Styela clava: one gene and its partner. The protein of the gene in region 2 purifies or fractionates together with the protein of the main gene of each other region. This does not show direct contact. Links are inferred from orthologs where the notes say so. Each region holds a gene or a part of one and is shown on either strand. Other genes may lie near its edges.

What was found. The genes of interacting proteins can lie anywhere in the genome.
Region 1: the proteins of nucleolar protein 58-like (region 2) and FMR1-interacting protein NUFIP1-like purify together in Homo sapiens (co-immunoprecipitation; 3 studies listed by BioGRID and IntAct, with this or other methods). This does not show direct contact. The link is inferred for Styela clava from reciprocal best matches to the Homo sapiens genes NOP58 and NUFIP1.

The regions. Positions count from the first base shown.
Region 1 is NC_135262.1:18,619,816-18,626,740, reverse strand, and holds the start of FMR1-interacting protein NUFIP1-like, read left to right. Parts: upstream 1-3,911; 5' UTR 3,912-3,932; intron 3,933-5,743; 5' UTR 5,744-5,782; coding exon 5,783-6,925. UniProt on the Homo sapiens protein: Binds RNA.
Region 2 is NC_135257.1:6,828,867-6,836,159, reverse strand, and holds nucleolar protein 58-like, read right to left. Parts: upstream 2,440-7,293; 5' UTR 2,387-2,439; coding exon 743-2,386; 3' UTR 582-742; downstream 1-581. Other genes in the region: uncharacterized protein LOC120346509, read right to left, coding at 5,624-5,640, 5,711-5,806, 6,196-6,261. UniProt on the Homo sapiens protein: Required for the biogenesis of box C/D snoRNAs such as U3, U8 and U14 snoRNAs. Part of the small subunit (SSU) processome, first precursor of the small eukaryotic ribosomal subunit.

The DNA.
Region 1 (6,925 bases), on a different chromosome or scaffold from region 2:
GTCTGTGTCACCCTATTCCTCATTTCTGCTTGATTTATTAAGTTGTTTAGCTCATGTTGGTTAGAGTTACTTGCTAACTTACTGTTATAAATTGATTTCGAAAGAAATATAAGCGATTGGGGAAGGGAATACGAGAGAGAAGTGCAGAAAACGAACTATTGCGTAATTGGGATGCCATTCCTAAAAATTTTCTGTGTCTCAAAAACTTTGCAACTGCATTACTCTCCATGTTTTCGTTAACATATGCTTGTGAATCTCTGTTCGCAGTTATGAAATTTATCAAGTCTCGTAAAAGGTGAAAGATGAATCAGTAGTTCATGTATTTTCTTACAAAATATAAACCCAATGTAACTATCAGCGGTAATACAGCAGCAGAAGTCTCACTGATATAGAATAAGAAAGTAATCAAATCTATTTGACGGGCTGACATTTTCCAGAATAGGAAATCTGTCTGTACATGTTTAAAAGGTTTATTATTGTGTATTTTTTCTTTGAAAGTTGCAAAGCATTGTTTTCAATTTTGGTCGGCACGCGGGAGAATTTTGTCGTTAAATTTAGCCAATTTTGGCACGCGAGCCGAAAAAGGTTGCCCACCCCTGACCTAGGGTGATCATACGTCCTCCTTTTGGAGGATTTGTCTAAAAGTATACTCAGTTACATATTTACTTACATACAATTATGTTTGCAAATAATACCGGGTGCGATTGTTTGTTCTAAAATTGACCTTCAAAATTCATCCAAATGATAAACGCTAGTTAGTAACGTATGCGCCATGATTGTAAAAGAAGCAATGATAACGAGGGAAGCATCGCAGACATGTTTTCAATAAGGTATAAAGCAATGATGTATGTAGATAATTTAATGAAACGTTTCAAATATTTGTGAAACTTTGTAACATTTTGAGTAGGCCCTAGTCGATTAAAATTGAGCGAAAGCTGCTACCAATATGAAATATAACGACTCTGGAGTGTCGCGGCTGGCTTTGGAAAGCTGTAAGGATAATAATAAACACTTTTGGTCGAGATAAAGGCGACGCCACTGTAGCGTGCGTTGCCTTGTGTTATCTATTAATTTTTTTTTTAAAAAGAATCAAGCCACTTTTTGTTAAATTGCTTCGATTCGAAATTCTAAAACTTACATCCCTAGATATGACAAGCAATGCATTGCGTTATGTTAACATGCGGGGTTACTCTAGGTTAAATGCATGCTTGATCTGCACAATCGTTTATGACGTAAAAATCGCATTTGTTGTGCAATTCTATTTTACGTCACTTCACTTTGTATGCCTAATCCCGTGAAGTTTCGATTGTGGCAGATCCTTGCGCCTGAAAACCCAGTAAATTATGCCAAAAAGGAAAACTTTTTTCACTCAGGAACTAAAGCAAAAGTACCCATGCTTTAGAAAAGGTCGAACTGACAGCGAAGCGAAGTGCATTTCTTGTGGTTACGGTACTTTCATTTCTGTGGCGAATAAAGGCAAACTCAGCTCACAGTTGCACGTTGAGAGTTCCAAGCAATTTAGCAGTTCACTCAGGAACTAAAGCAAAAGTACCCATGCTTTAGAAAAGGTCGAACTGACAGCGAAGCGGAGTGCATTTCTTGTGGTTACGGTACTTTCATTTCTGTGGCGAATAAAGGCAAACTCAGCTCACAGTTGCACGTTGAGAGTTCCAAGCAATTTAGCAGTTCACTCAGGAACTAAAGCAAAAGTACCCATGCTTTAGAAAAGGTCGAACTGACAGCGAAGCGGAGTGCATTTCTTGTGGCTACGGTACTTTCATTTCTGTGGCGAATAAAGGCAAACTCAGTTTACAGTTGCACGTTGAGAGTTCCAACCGACTACTTTTGTGAGCCTGGGACTCAAATCGAAGAAAATGTCGCAGTCGCCAACGCTACAATGGCGTTTCACTGTGTGAAACATCACCAGAGTTACAGATTTCGTCAGAGTACGTCAAATCTAATGAAGAAGATTTTTCCAGATTCAAATACCGGTATTTCAAAAAAATATTCTTGTGCTCGAACGAAAGTTGAAGCTATTGTGAATAAGTTTACAACAATTTGTAAACTGCTTGTCTGAGAAAGTCTGATTCTGGTCGGACGAAACGTTACAGAAATACATGTGTGTTAGTGTGCAGCTGGACTCTTTAATTGGATATAATAACTTTAGTTTACAATTTTAACGACATTTCTTGCATCCAGTTTTACGATATTGCAAAAAATAACCCAGCAATGTTGACGAGGATTAGAGGAACTTCCAAATACTCGTGGTCTAAGGAAAAATAAATCGATTATTCCGCAGATGTTTTTTTTAATAAAGACAAAAATGCATTAACTCATTGTCGTCACATCGTCTAATTTTTTTATCCTAGAGAATTTAGTAGATATATAATGTATATTTCGGACACGGTTCCATTACATTTGAACCCACGTACATTTGAACCCATGACAATTGCACCTGTATGCTATTGCACCTATGGAATTTTTTTTGTTTCACGGATAGTTAAACCCATACTAACCCTAACCCATGGGTTTTAGCACCCGCATATAGATTGAACCCGTGGATATACGCATGGGTTCAAACGTACATGGGTTCAAATGTACGGTCACCCTCGGACACAGGTGAGATGTGGTTCTACCGAACAATATGTCCTCCTTTCAGGGATTGGAAATATGGTCACCTTCAATTACCTCATCTTCTCCTCTGCATTAAGCTTCAGTTTGACGTGACAAAAAAATGGGAGAGTGGTGTTCAATGAGAAAGGGGAGAGTGGCGGGAGATCATCATGCTCCTAATATTGTCATACATTTCATTGATTCTAAATTTTTTTTCTCCTTAGACAGCAAAACTTGTTGCATTGTTTGAGGTGCTTTCACTCCAAGTATCAACGTCACACATTCCAATGAATATACAATCAAGGTTTCAGGAGGGTGCTTTTTGGCTTTTGCCAAATACAAAGCAATTGCAAAAGATGCATGTATGGCAGTATTCAATCTTGTCTCGAAGGTGGTGTAGGTTTCATGCGTATGTTCGTCGTTGGTTTCATGATACTGTTTGAAAAGGTTTTCATGCACAAAACACATTGAGGAATATGAAGACCATCCCAAATAAGATACGTGAATCTAATTAATCGTCCTAATGCTAATACTTTCTCTTTTTTGAGACATTCTGTTTTAACAATTTCAGTGTGTTGTATTTGTGACGAAATTTAATGTAGTGGAATAACAATGTAATCGACTCGATACGTATGAGTTTATTTTGACTTACTGAATTTCTGTGGGGTTAACTTTTAAAAATTCGTGTTTTGCCAACGAATTCCACTTTATGTGAGCGGTTAACGCCAAAAATCTTCAGGAATTACATAGAATCGATAGAATCAAATTCGCCACACAATATTTCGCGATAACCCACCTTCAAAGATAACCCTTATAACTCAGCCTCCTCCCCTCGGGATAAGTTCTATTCTATACTAACGCAAGGTGTTCGACGGAAGCCACAAAGGTTAGAAATAACCGTGTGTCATGTGTGGTGTATGTACCAAAATAAAACGCCCTACCTTCCGTCGGCGGAATTTATGTCCACTTCTTACTTTCAGCTTTTTAATATTGTTTTTGTTTTCGTCGGAGACGCTACTGCTCGCCTTTTTGTTCCACTCCATCCGTGCCTAAGCTGTTTTGTACTTTCCTCTATAATTTGGTATATTGGTAACAAAGCCCGTATAAAGTTATATAATACCGGCACCGACGCCCTTATCCGAGTGTGGGCATAAACGTGCCATCTTGCCGGTTACGGTTGATTTGATGTCGGAGTCAATAAATTCGAGAACACGCAGACACGTGCGCGAACGTGAATAACTGGGAGTCTGCAGGGACAAAATAAAAACGGGGTCATTCATCGGGATCAAGGGGCTTATAGTCACTTTGATCTGGATCAGGTAGTAGGCCAGTCTTGCTTTTACATTGTCATAATACTGCAATAGGCTGTATTTAATGTTGTGTGTCGACTGATTGAATACGTTAAATTCCGAGACTTACAGACTCGAGGCAGTAAGGTGTGATGCTTGAATATACCGTAATCGTAATGGGCTTTTTTAGAATGAAAAAGCTTAGTACGGTATTGTGCTGTTCATGTATTAGTCTTGTGTTTCAGCATCATGGGCATATTTTTGTAATTAAGACTTCAAAGTATCCCAACTAACGCGATCGATTTGTGGCGCTTGTAAATTTCAAAATTTGGTCACTAACCTACACCGAGCTACATAATTTCGATGTGTGTAGAGTGTAGTGATATCATTATGACTATCCAAGTAGAATGGAATTTAGTTAGGAGATCTCATTGAGCTTGGGAGATCTCATAATGGTAATCATTAGATGTAGCGAATTCTCATATAGAAGGAATTTCACATTATCCAGTTATCTATCTGTCTGTAGTGAGAAAATCGTTGGATTACTGGATTAGCGATTTCAGATATCATCACACGAAAATCAAGTTGATCGCAAACTGGCAAAATTATCATCAAACCCGTGCCCAAAACTGATGTCTTAAAGGCATTATTTATCTTTTTTTTTTTTGGATTATACAAAACTTTGAAAAAGCATTACTCAATAATTTGATTGTGCTTTTTGCTGACTTCACATATTTGTATAATAAAACAGGAGGGAAGGGTTCTATGTAAATTAAAATTTTATTTTTGTACTTCTATTCTGTTGATTGTGATGCCAGTTTATATGTAGAATTATTCCACACCCGGTAGAAAGAGTACCAAATGAGGCATGAGGTTTAAAATAAAATATGTCGTAATTATGGCCCTATTACTGCACCACATTTTGTTAAATTCTATTTTTCAAGTATTGGCTGTGCGTAAGCATGTAAATAACCTTTTCTAAATTAATTTAACTACTTTTGAATGATGATTATGGTCTTCATGCAATTTAGGTGAATGATTGTCCTCATCTCATTAAACATAACAAATGTTAAAAGTTGTTGAATGAATGTGATTTGGCTTGACTGAACTAAAGTGGAATTTGCATTTTTTGAATTTGTCCGAGCTGTGGCAAAAGATGATAACTGATCATTCATTTCAAGCACTGCTGAAGAATAGGCTGTACCTGCATTGCAGTTTTTTCTGAAAATGACTATATTTTGCTTTGCATCTGCAACAAAATTACTGGATGAACCTTAAACATTTAAACTGAAATTCTGACAGCAGGAATGGCCATAATCGATTATTTTACTACTTCAAATAGATTCTGAAAAAATATTTTTAAATATGAAATATCCAATACATTCTAAATTCTCTCATGTGGGAAATTACATAAATCACTATAAGTTCATGTTTATCACATCTAATACGATAGAAAAATAAAAGGTCATTTTTTTGTGTTTTTTTTTTACCAGTTTGATTATGGTATGTTTTGTTCAACTTGTCTGATGGTTCGAAATCCTTAATTTTCAAACAAAAATATTCTAATCTATAGATTTTAATAAATTTTGAATGTATTCGATTCATTTTGAACATCCCTGTCTGAAAGTGTGTGTGCCAATTAGTTTTGATTGACCAGTAGACAAAAGCTGTTCTGTAAAGAAAAGATGGGTAATTATTGTTTTTAGTAGCAAAATACCCAACGAAGGGTTCTGTCTGTTAAATTAGTGTTTATGTGAACATGGATAATATGATAGAGAGAACTTATCGAAGTTTAATTTCTTGTGATATTAAACAACTTTCCAATATTTGTTTTATTACAGTTTTTATCTACTTTGATCCACAGTAGCCAGAAACAGGATATGGAATATCAATGGAATGGTAATGGCCAGGGAATGCATGGTTGCAATTCAGCAGGTTATTGGCAACCAAGACCAATGTTTCAATATCAACCAACACGTCATTTTCCTCCCCCTCAACAAATTTGGAATGGCTTTCAAGGAAATCCATGGGAACAACCATATAGACAATTTAATCCGGGACCAATACATCATGTCAGACATCAATTTCCTAATAATCATAAAAATAATAAGAAAACTAAATCCAGGGGACAAAAAGAACAAGTATTTATAGACTTTTGTGATGTTTGTGACAGAGGCTTCAAAACTGAAGCAAAAAAAAATGAACATTTCAGTCAACATATCAAATGTGACGAGCCACGTTGCAAATTTGAAGCACATTTTAAAATTGTTTCCATTCATAAACAAAATGCACATGGGCCTAATGCTCATAAAATAAAGTTGGATACACCTGAGGAAATAGCAAGATGGAGAATGGAACGTAGAAAAAATTATCCGACAGCGGCAAATGCAGAACTCAAGTTAAAGAAGTCACAAGAACGGCTAATAAATGGGAATGTTCTGAATAACAAAGAATTTGGTAAAATGCGGAAAAGAAAAGGGTGCAACAAATCTTCGGTAGATAAGAATTCCAACTCAACCGAAGCTTTTCAACCTGGTAAAGTTGCAAAAACAGAAGATAATGATAAAAGAAAACATACTAATCTTCTGATAAGCAATGGTTCAGATGATTTGAGTGATTCTGATTCTCTCAATGAATCCATGGATACAGAAATGGTCAGTGATTCCAATAGGAAGGCAAATCTTTCAGTTGGCCTTGGATCATTGATGCAAAGTTACGCCAGTGATTCTGATGAGGAAAAACCTGATAGCAAGATTTCAGTGGGGAATGTTGATATGAAAACTGTTTTTCCTAAAAATGAACTTCCAGATGCATCCTTCCAGTCAGAGAATAATATACAATCAAACGAATCGACCAAGAAGGGTAAAGTCTCGTCACCTGGTGCAGTCCAAAAGGAAAATAGAGAATATCAATCGCCGAGAAGGAATAGATCGAATGGACAAAATTTCGTGAGAAAAAATATGCCTAAAAACAAAAGAAAAGATTTGTTAGAAATGTTGCTTGCTCCTGATATTAGAAGAGAA
Region 2 (7,293 bases):
TGGGAGCTTGCATTACTGAGGCAACGATATAACATGGCACCCTGTCAGGAGACCTAGAAACTTGTGATATAAATGTATTATAATTAGTAGACTTGACTTATGTGGGCTTCACAGCTTTTTACAATCTCATGATTAAATCCAATTCCAACCACATTACCCAGGAGTATAATAAATTCTGGTCATCCCAAATATAGCTATTTACATGTCAATGGGTGCTTGTACAGGACCTTGTTCTGAGTATGAAAAAGTATGGTCTGCTTTGTGTTTCTCATTTCACAAAAACAGTCCGATTATTCAGATTCTTAGCTACCGCAAAGTATGTGCAGCTCCAATAATAGGAGTACGACATAGTGGTAAGAAAGAAATTATTGAAGGCTTGTTTGGGAAATTCTATCAAAATTACTTCCCAGGTCTGCTACAAGGTTAGGTTGGTTACAAATGGTGATGGAATTCAAAATTCTAAGAATGGGTTCTCTTTTGGATTAAACTTACTAACAACAGGTTCTCTCATTCAGAAAATAAATAGATTCGCGCAAACCCCCGGATCCCATCACTTGTTACAATCAAATCCTTCCGACATCTTCCATGGTTGAAATCTATTAATATTTGGCAGTGATATTAAAATGGTACAGAAGCACACTACAGTGCATACATGATGAAGCACTGAAGCGAAAGTCTCAAAAAATCACCTCAAATGAAAGATTTGAAAAAAAAATTAAAACACGTTAATGTTCTTATGAAATCATTCACTCTCCTTTTTTGACTTTTTCTTCTTCTTTTTCGGTTTGCCTTCCACCTGTGGAGACTGTACTTCAGTCTTGATCTTTTTTGGTGACGACTCCTGTACTTCGGTCTTGACTTTCTTATCTTTTTTAGATTTCTTTTTAACAACTTCCGTTCCATTGGTAGCACTGGATGTGTTAAGATCATCGTCAGACTCCTGTGTTTCAAGTTTGATCTTTTTCTCTTTTTTAGTTTTCTTTTTAACAGGTTCAGCAGTTGGAGTACAGGGCGCAGTCAGTTTACCATCGGACACGATCAAGGCTTCTTCATGTTTTCTTTTCTTAGGGCCTGGCAGAGTTGAATCCCTGGCGTCATCATACATTTTAACCTCGCTTTTATTTGTCCATTTATCAGCCTGGGCTTTGGCTTTTCCAGTTCCGCTAATTTTAAATGATGTTCCTTCTTCCAATGCCTTCAATCTCATTTCTAATAGAGCACGATTTTCCACTCCCAACTGAGTTGAGGACTCTTCTCCAAGAGCGTCATAACGAACAGCAAGGGCTGTTTTTGCAGCAAGCATTCTTGAGATTTTACCCTTGTGTTTAGGATTGGATTGTCCAACAAGTGAAGCATGATAAATCAATCCATATTTAGGCGTTTCTTTTCTGGTTTTTAAAGCACGAAAAAGTGCTTTTTCAGCTCCAAGAATTTGCACTGTTGAAGCTGGATGTTTAGCAAGGTTAAGAAGAGAACCAGCGTGTGCAATCAACCTTGCACCTACAAGTTCACCAACAAGTATTGTGACATTTGGTGCAATTGCTGTCATACGATTTTTCAAATAGTCATAGAGCTGTGCTCTATAATCAGTTATTTCGATGATTTGCTCACATAAGTAAGTAATCCTGCTGATATCTTCTTCAGATATTTCAGTACCCATTGATACTTCTGCCAATTCTTTCACTTGCTCTTCTATTTCTTCTGGAAGAATATCTGACAAATCACAATTTATTGCTTCTGTTCGGATTCCCATTTTCTTTACGGTCTTTGCAAAAGCAAGATTGTCTGTAACAACTTTACCAAGTTCTGGAAAATGCCAACCATACCATTCCCTACATCTCATTATATAATTATTCAATTCTTTATCCAGGTCATCAAGTAACGATATAGCTTGGACGATCATTGTGTCAACTTTGTCAGGGCTAAATTTCAATTTGTATCGAGAAAGACTATGAGCGAGTCCAAGTGCCATAGCTGTCACATCGCTCTCAGGCAGCCCAGTTATAAGACTGGTCATGTGAGCACGTATTCCTCTCATTAACTCATGTATAGCTGGACTATACAAGCACATTAAATCCATCTTGTCTTGGATTGCATTTCCAAGTTTTGCATCAGCAACCGCAAGTTTTTCATGTGCTTCATTTGCAACTATTTTCTTGAGCAATTTTTTTAAAGGCTTGCATAACTTTCCTTCCACGGCTGCGGTTGTTGCTGAAAGGGCTTCAGTCATATCTTCAAATTTTTTGAAATGTTTCAATTTGACCATTTTGGATGCACTTTCTGCTGTGCTGAAAAGCGATTGCAAGTCTCCGGCCTCTCTGACTTTTGATTCATCAAGAACCTTGAATACGGCATAGCCAGCTGGTGATTCGAATAGCACCAACATTTTGCTACTGTGTTATCTTATACCATTACTGGAAAATGTAACAAATTGATTTGATTCATGTATAATAATACAAACATAGATCTGACAATGTAATCATGGGCAGAATAGCCTCAGGCAGATATTAAATAAATAATAATATTATATGTTATGCTGCAACTCGAGTTGGATATAATTTCAAAGGATTGTGTTTAAATTTTTCTTCTTTTTAGCTTTTATACTTATGAAACGGTGAGAGACAAATCAAATAACATACAACAGAGTTACTCATAAATTGAACTTGGCTACCTTAAAATTAAAAGCATGTGACAGTGTGATGTGAAGCTTAGAAAATGGAACTCTAACAGTCCAAAATAGTTTAGATCTGTAGATAGTCTACTTACTAATCTTAAGACTATGTCCCATTATTTCAAAATTCCATGGTATGGTCTATGAAGATTCAGTATAATAAATTAAATTAATTAAAGAAATTCATTATTCTTCATTAATTAAAGAAAATCTATTTCCTTTTCCTCTGATAGCCTAATAGGAATTTTGGAGTTTCCTCAAGTTCTTGGTATTAGCTGGTTAATGCAATCCATCAAATTCAGAATTGACACAGTACTGCAGACTGCAGTAAGATCCAATATTTTGAATCATTGAATTTGGCTGGGCCAAAACCACAGTTTCGGTTTAAGTATGAAGTAGCCTACTGAAGCAGATGTACAGTACTGCCATATTTAAAATATTATAAATTGAGAATTAAATATGAAAAAAGAGTTCTGAGATATCAAAGAATTTTTCCTATTATATACAACATCCTCACTTCTATATCACAAGATTAAAATTGCAACGTTTAAACATTCTCACTAGACATGTGTTTTCCACCACCGATCGACAAAACAAAAATTCTTGAGGCCAGAAGGCTGTGAAGTCTGAAAGTGTAAGGTCAAGCACAAAAAACCCTCTGAACTATTTCTAAGACCCATCACAAAATATATATAACCATCGCCACGATGTACTATAATGGAGGTCATACGGCAACTCCATGTGTATAACGTCAATAACAAATTAAGCCGATCTCACATTGCGTTAACCAGCGCCGAACGTCGCTGTTCGAGAACTGGAATATACTTTAGGGCCGTCATCGACTCGCTCGACACACACGTGCTAGTTACTTGTTACGCATCAGTAAATGTTAAATTTACGTTTCGTTTGACCGCTTGACCAAAGTGAATCTACGCCACGGTGATCGCTTTGGTTTCGCCATGGCTCGTGGATACTGGATAGTTTTCTATTTTATGCCATTCGATTTTTATTGGACACAAAGAACGCAAAAAGTTCAGGAATCCTGGACATTTTGCACAAAATTAATGTTCTATCTAGAAAATGTTCGAAATCACCCCTTAGGCATATAGGAGACAGACGTGTATCCAGCAAGACAGGGCCCCATCGGCATATCAAATCACGCCCTTGATTGGATAAGTAAACAATTTCAGAAAAGGTGAAGCATCTCATTCATGGACCTTTCCCCGAGCATTGACTTCCTTGTTTACTTCGTGACATTGGCCAATCAGCAAGATTCAAAAAGTGACGTAACAATGCTACCTTTTCGCATCCGCTCAGACACTTTTTTCACTCACACAGATTTTCAGGCGTGGTCGTAAACATTACCTCGTTTTCGCGTTTTTGAACTCTATTCGTTAGTTTTCAGTTGTGTTTCGGGAATTTGAATATAAATTAGATATTTCAATGATCACTCTGTCTTCCTAGGAGTTTTAATTTAATTGCAGTAATAAAAAATTATTATAGAAATAGCTGTGATAGACTAGGCTGAAATTGTTTACCGGTATTTTTAAAAAACAGATTGTTGTATGCGATGAATCATAATGATAAAATATAAAATAAGCCCCGAAAATTTTGCAATGGTAAGGTATAGGAAGAATTTTTTGAGGGTCAAAGGTCGGGGAAAGGTCCATTGGACTTGAAAATGTCAGATTTTTATCTGTGGCGGTATTGGAAGGACGATGTGTATCAGGACATTCCCCATCATTTCAATATCATATTTATCTCTTAGTAATGTCGTACAATCACGTTTTCTGTGTTTACGAGAAAATCACACAGTTGTTGGTCGACAACACTTTTCATTAAAATGCTAGCAAACTGTCGTGTTCTTCAGATATTGTTGAACTTGCGACAATGATGCTGGTGTTGCTGTATGCTCTGAGAGATAGGAGTAGAATTCAGGAATTCCAACAGCATCATACTGTGTCTTCACAATAGAGTCAGATTGCATTTCTGAAATTTCCATTTGGAGATACATAGCCTACGGCCGATCAACAACACTACTTCTCAAACGCATTTCTGAAATTTCCATTTGGAGATACTATAGCCTACGGCCGATCAACAACACTACTTCTCAAACGCCACATATGATAAAACTTTGTTGGAACAGTGAAATGCAATAGAGAGGATTTCAATACGAATATCAGTATGTTGTAGATGTATATTACAATAAATTGAGCAATAAACAAACTGCAAATTTGTCCTATTCAAACATTGTACCATTTCGAATTTAACATTATCAATTTAATGAAGGATGAATAAATGAAGGATGTTGTAGATTATATAATGTAATGTTATGTATTATACACTTGAATTGTTGTAAATGCATGCAAAGAACTGATCTGTTATAAAACGATATGTTGGTGCCATTTTTTAAACTTTGGTGTGGATAATAAAAAAAATTATTTGGACACACGTAGATTTTATTCAATTTACCCAGATACCTCAAGACTCTAGCATGCTTCTAAACACGATAACGCATGGACGCAAGGAGTCATTTGATTACATGACTTCTTTACTTTGTTGACAGCGGAAATATTGGTGTAAATTAATAATTACCTCTGTTTTTATGATCCAATAAATTGTGATACCTTTATCGACATACGGCAACAATCTTAAACAACATTAAAATATGCAATTCATTTTCTTTATTTATTACATAGCGTACATAGCAATACAGGCACAATTCACAATGTTTTCTGGTTGAACCTTTTTGAACTATAACACAACTAAGAATATAATCTTGAATATTAATAATAACTGAATTAGGGGGATTTACATTTTTTAATGATCATGACTCCAGTCTCTGTCTGAACATGTAGAAGCATGGAAGTTGACGGAAATTCCGAGTTGATGAAGAACATTAAGGTATGCAGCAATTTGTGACAAAGTTGGATTTGGGCTTGGAAAAAATCCTCAAATCATTTGGTGTTCTGTAAAACGAAACAGGCAAACTTAACAAAATAAGCATCATTCATGGTAAAATAATTCTATTATTCATACCTTTGTCAGATATTCCACCCGGTGGACAAACAAAACTCGCGATGTAATTTTTATAGTCGGTCATATGTACGTCATGTCCACCGCCAAGGAAATTATCTATAAAACACAAACGAGAATATCGGTCAGAGACCGAAGACTTATCGATCGAAAGTTAGGAGATCCCCCAAAACAGCGCTCTTACTCCATAGTGACACCTTGTGTCCCATCACTAATTAATTAATAACTCGCTATTATACGACATAATTCGCCCAAAATCAATAGGCTACTGGTACGAAATATGATGAATGCACATGCAAAATCTGCAGCAGATCCAATCTCACTTTCGTGAGATATCGCGTGCATCTAACAGACAGACAGATAAACAGACAAATACCTATCAACATACTTACCGATTAAAATCGATAAGTAAGAAAGTAAAAGTTGAGGAATGCAAATATGTCGTAAATATTTTGTAATTTTTTGAAGATAATTCATCATATATTCACCCATATCCGAAACTCTTTCGTTATGAAGTCCATTCATTTCTCTCATGTGCTCATCATGATTATCTTCTACGATGATTAAATTTGTGATATATATATTAGGTCAGGGGTTCTCAAACTTTTGGTGTTGCGGAGCCCTTGAAAGGTTGAATATTATTCGCGGAGCCCCAAAATAAATTTTAAAATTGTTACTTTCAGATTATTATTCCCGAGCAAGTTAAAAGTACTTTATTTATTCTAAATGCTGAATCTTTTCTTTTTTGACATTTTTGGAAGACTTAATTAAAAGGCCGTTAGTAACGTGCGCTATTTCATTTTGTTACAATCGCCGATTTTTTCCGTCAGCATGGCGTGTTTTAAACATCTTTACGCCGCTGTTTATTCTCCCTAAATCAAAAATTTCCCTCGGCATATACATGTATTGTTACACAATGACGACGTTAATTCCTTTTTTGTTCTCGTGGGGAATTATGAGTTCAATGTGAAAAACATGTTACCATATTATAGTCATCGGCGACGAAATGCTAAAAATAATAATCAATAAAAAGGTAAATCCACAACTCAAATTTCTTGATTGAAAAGCGGCATTCTAAAATATTTAAACTGAAACTTAAAATGGAAGATCACACTTTGGTTTCAGCAGACTCACCTCAGATTGAAAACGCTTCTATAGACATTGTAAATCACAAAATTTGGTGTTATGTTAGGTTTTCATCGTAGTAGCTGCGAAATCGAAACACAGCAATTGTGCGCGCGATTTACCTTTTTTTTCATTCTGAAACTACCGACGCAGCCGCACGCAATCAATGGTGCGCGCGATCCGCGATGTACCTTTTTTCATTCTGAAACTACCGACGGAGCTGAATGCAATAAAATAATTTTCAATTGTTCGTATTTTCCCCAGACATTGTGATTTTTTAAACAGCGATATCTTGCTTAAAAATAATCTCAAGTGCGAAAGAACAAATCAAGTTTGACAAATACCAAGATCGCAAAAATACGACACCAATTTATTTATAGTTGGCAGTTTATCACATATTTTATGTTATTTTAGAATAGTATTCTTTCATTTTAGTAATCCTAATAGTAATCTCGAATCAA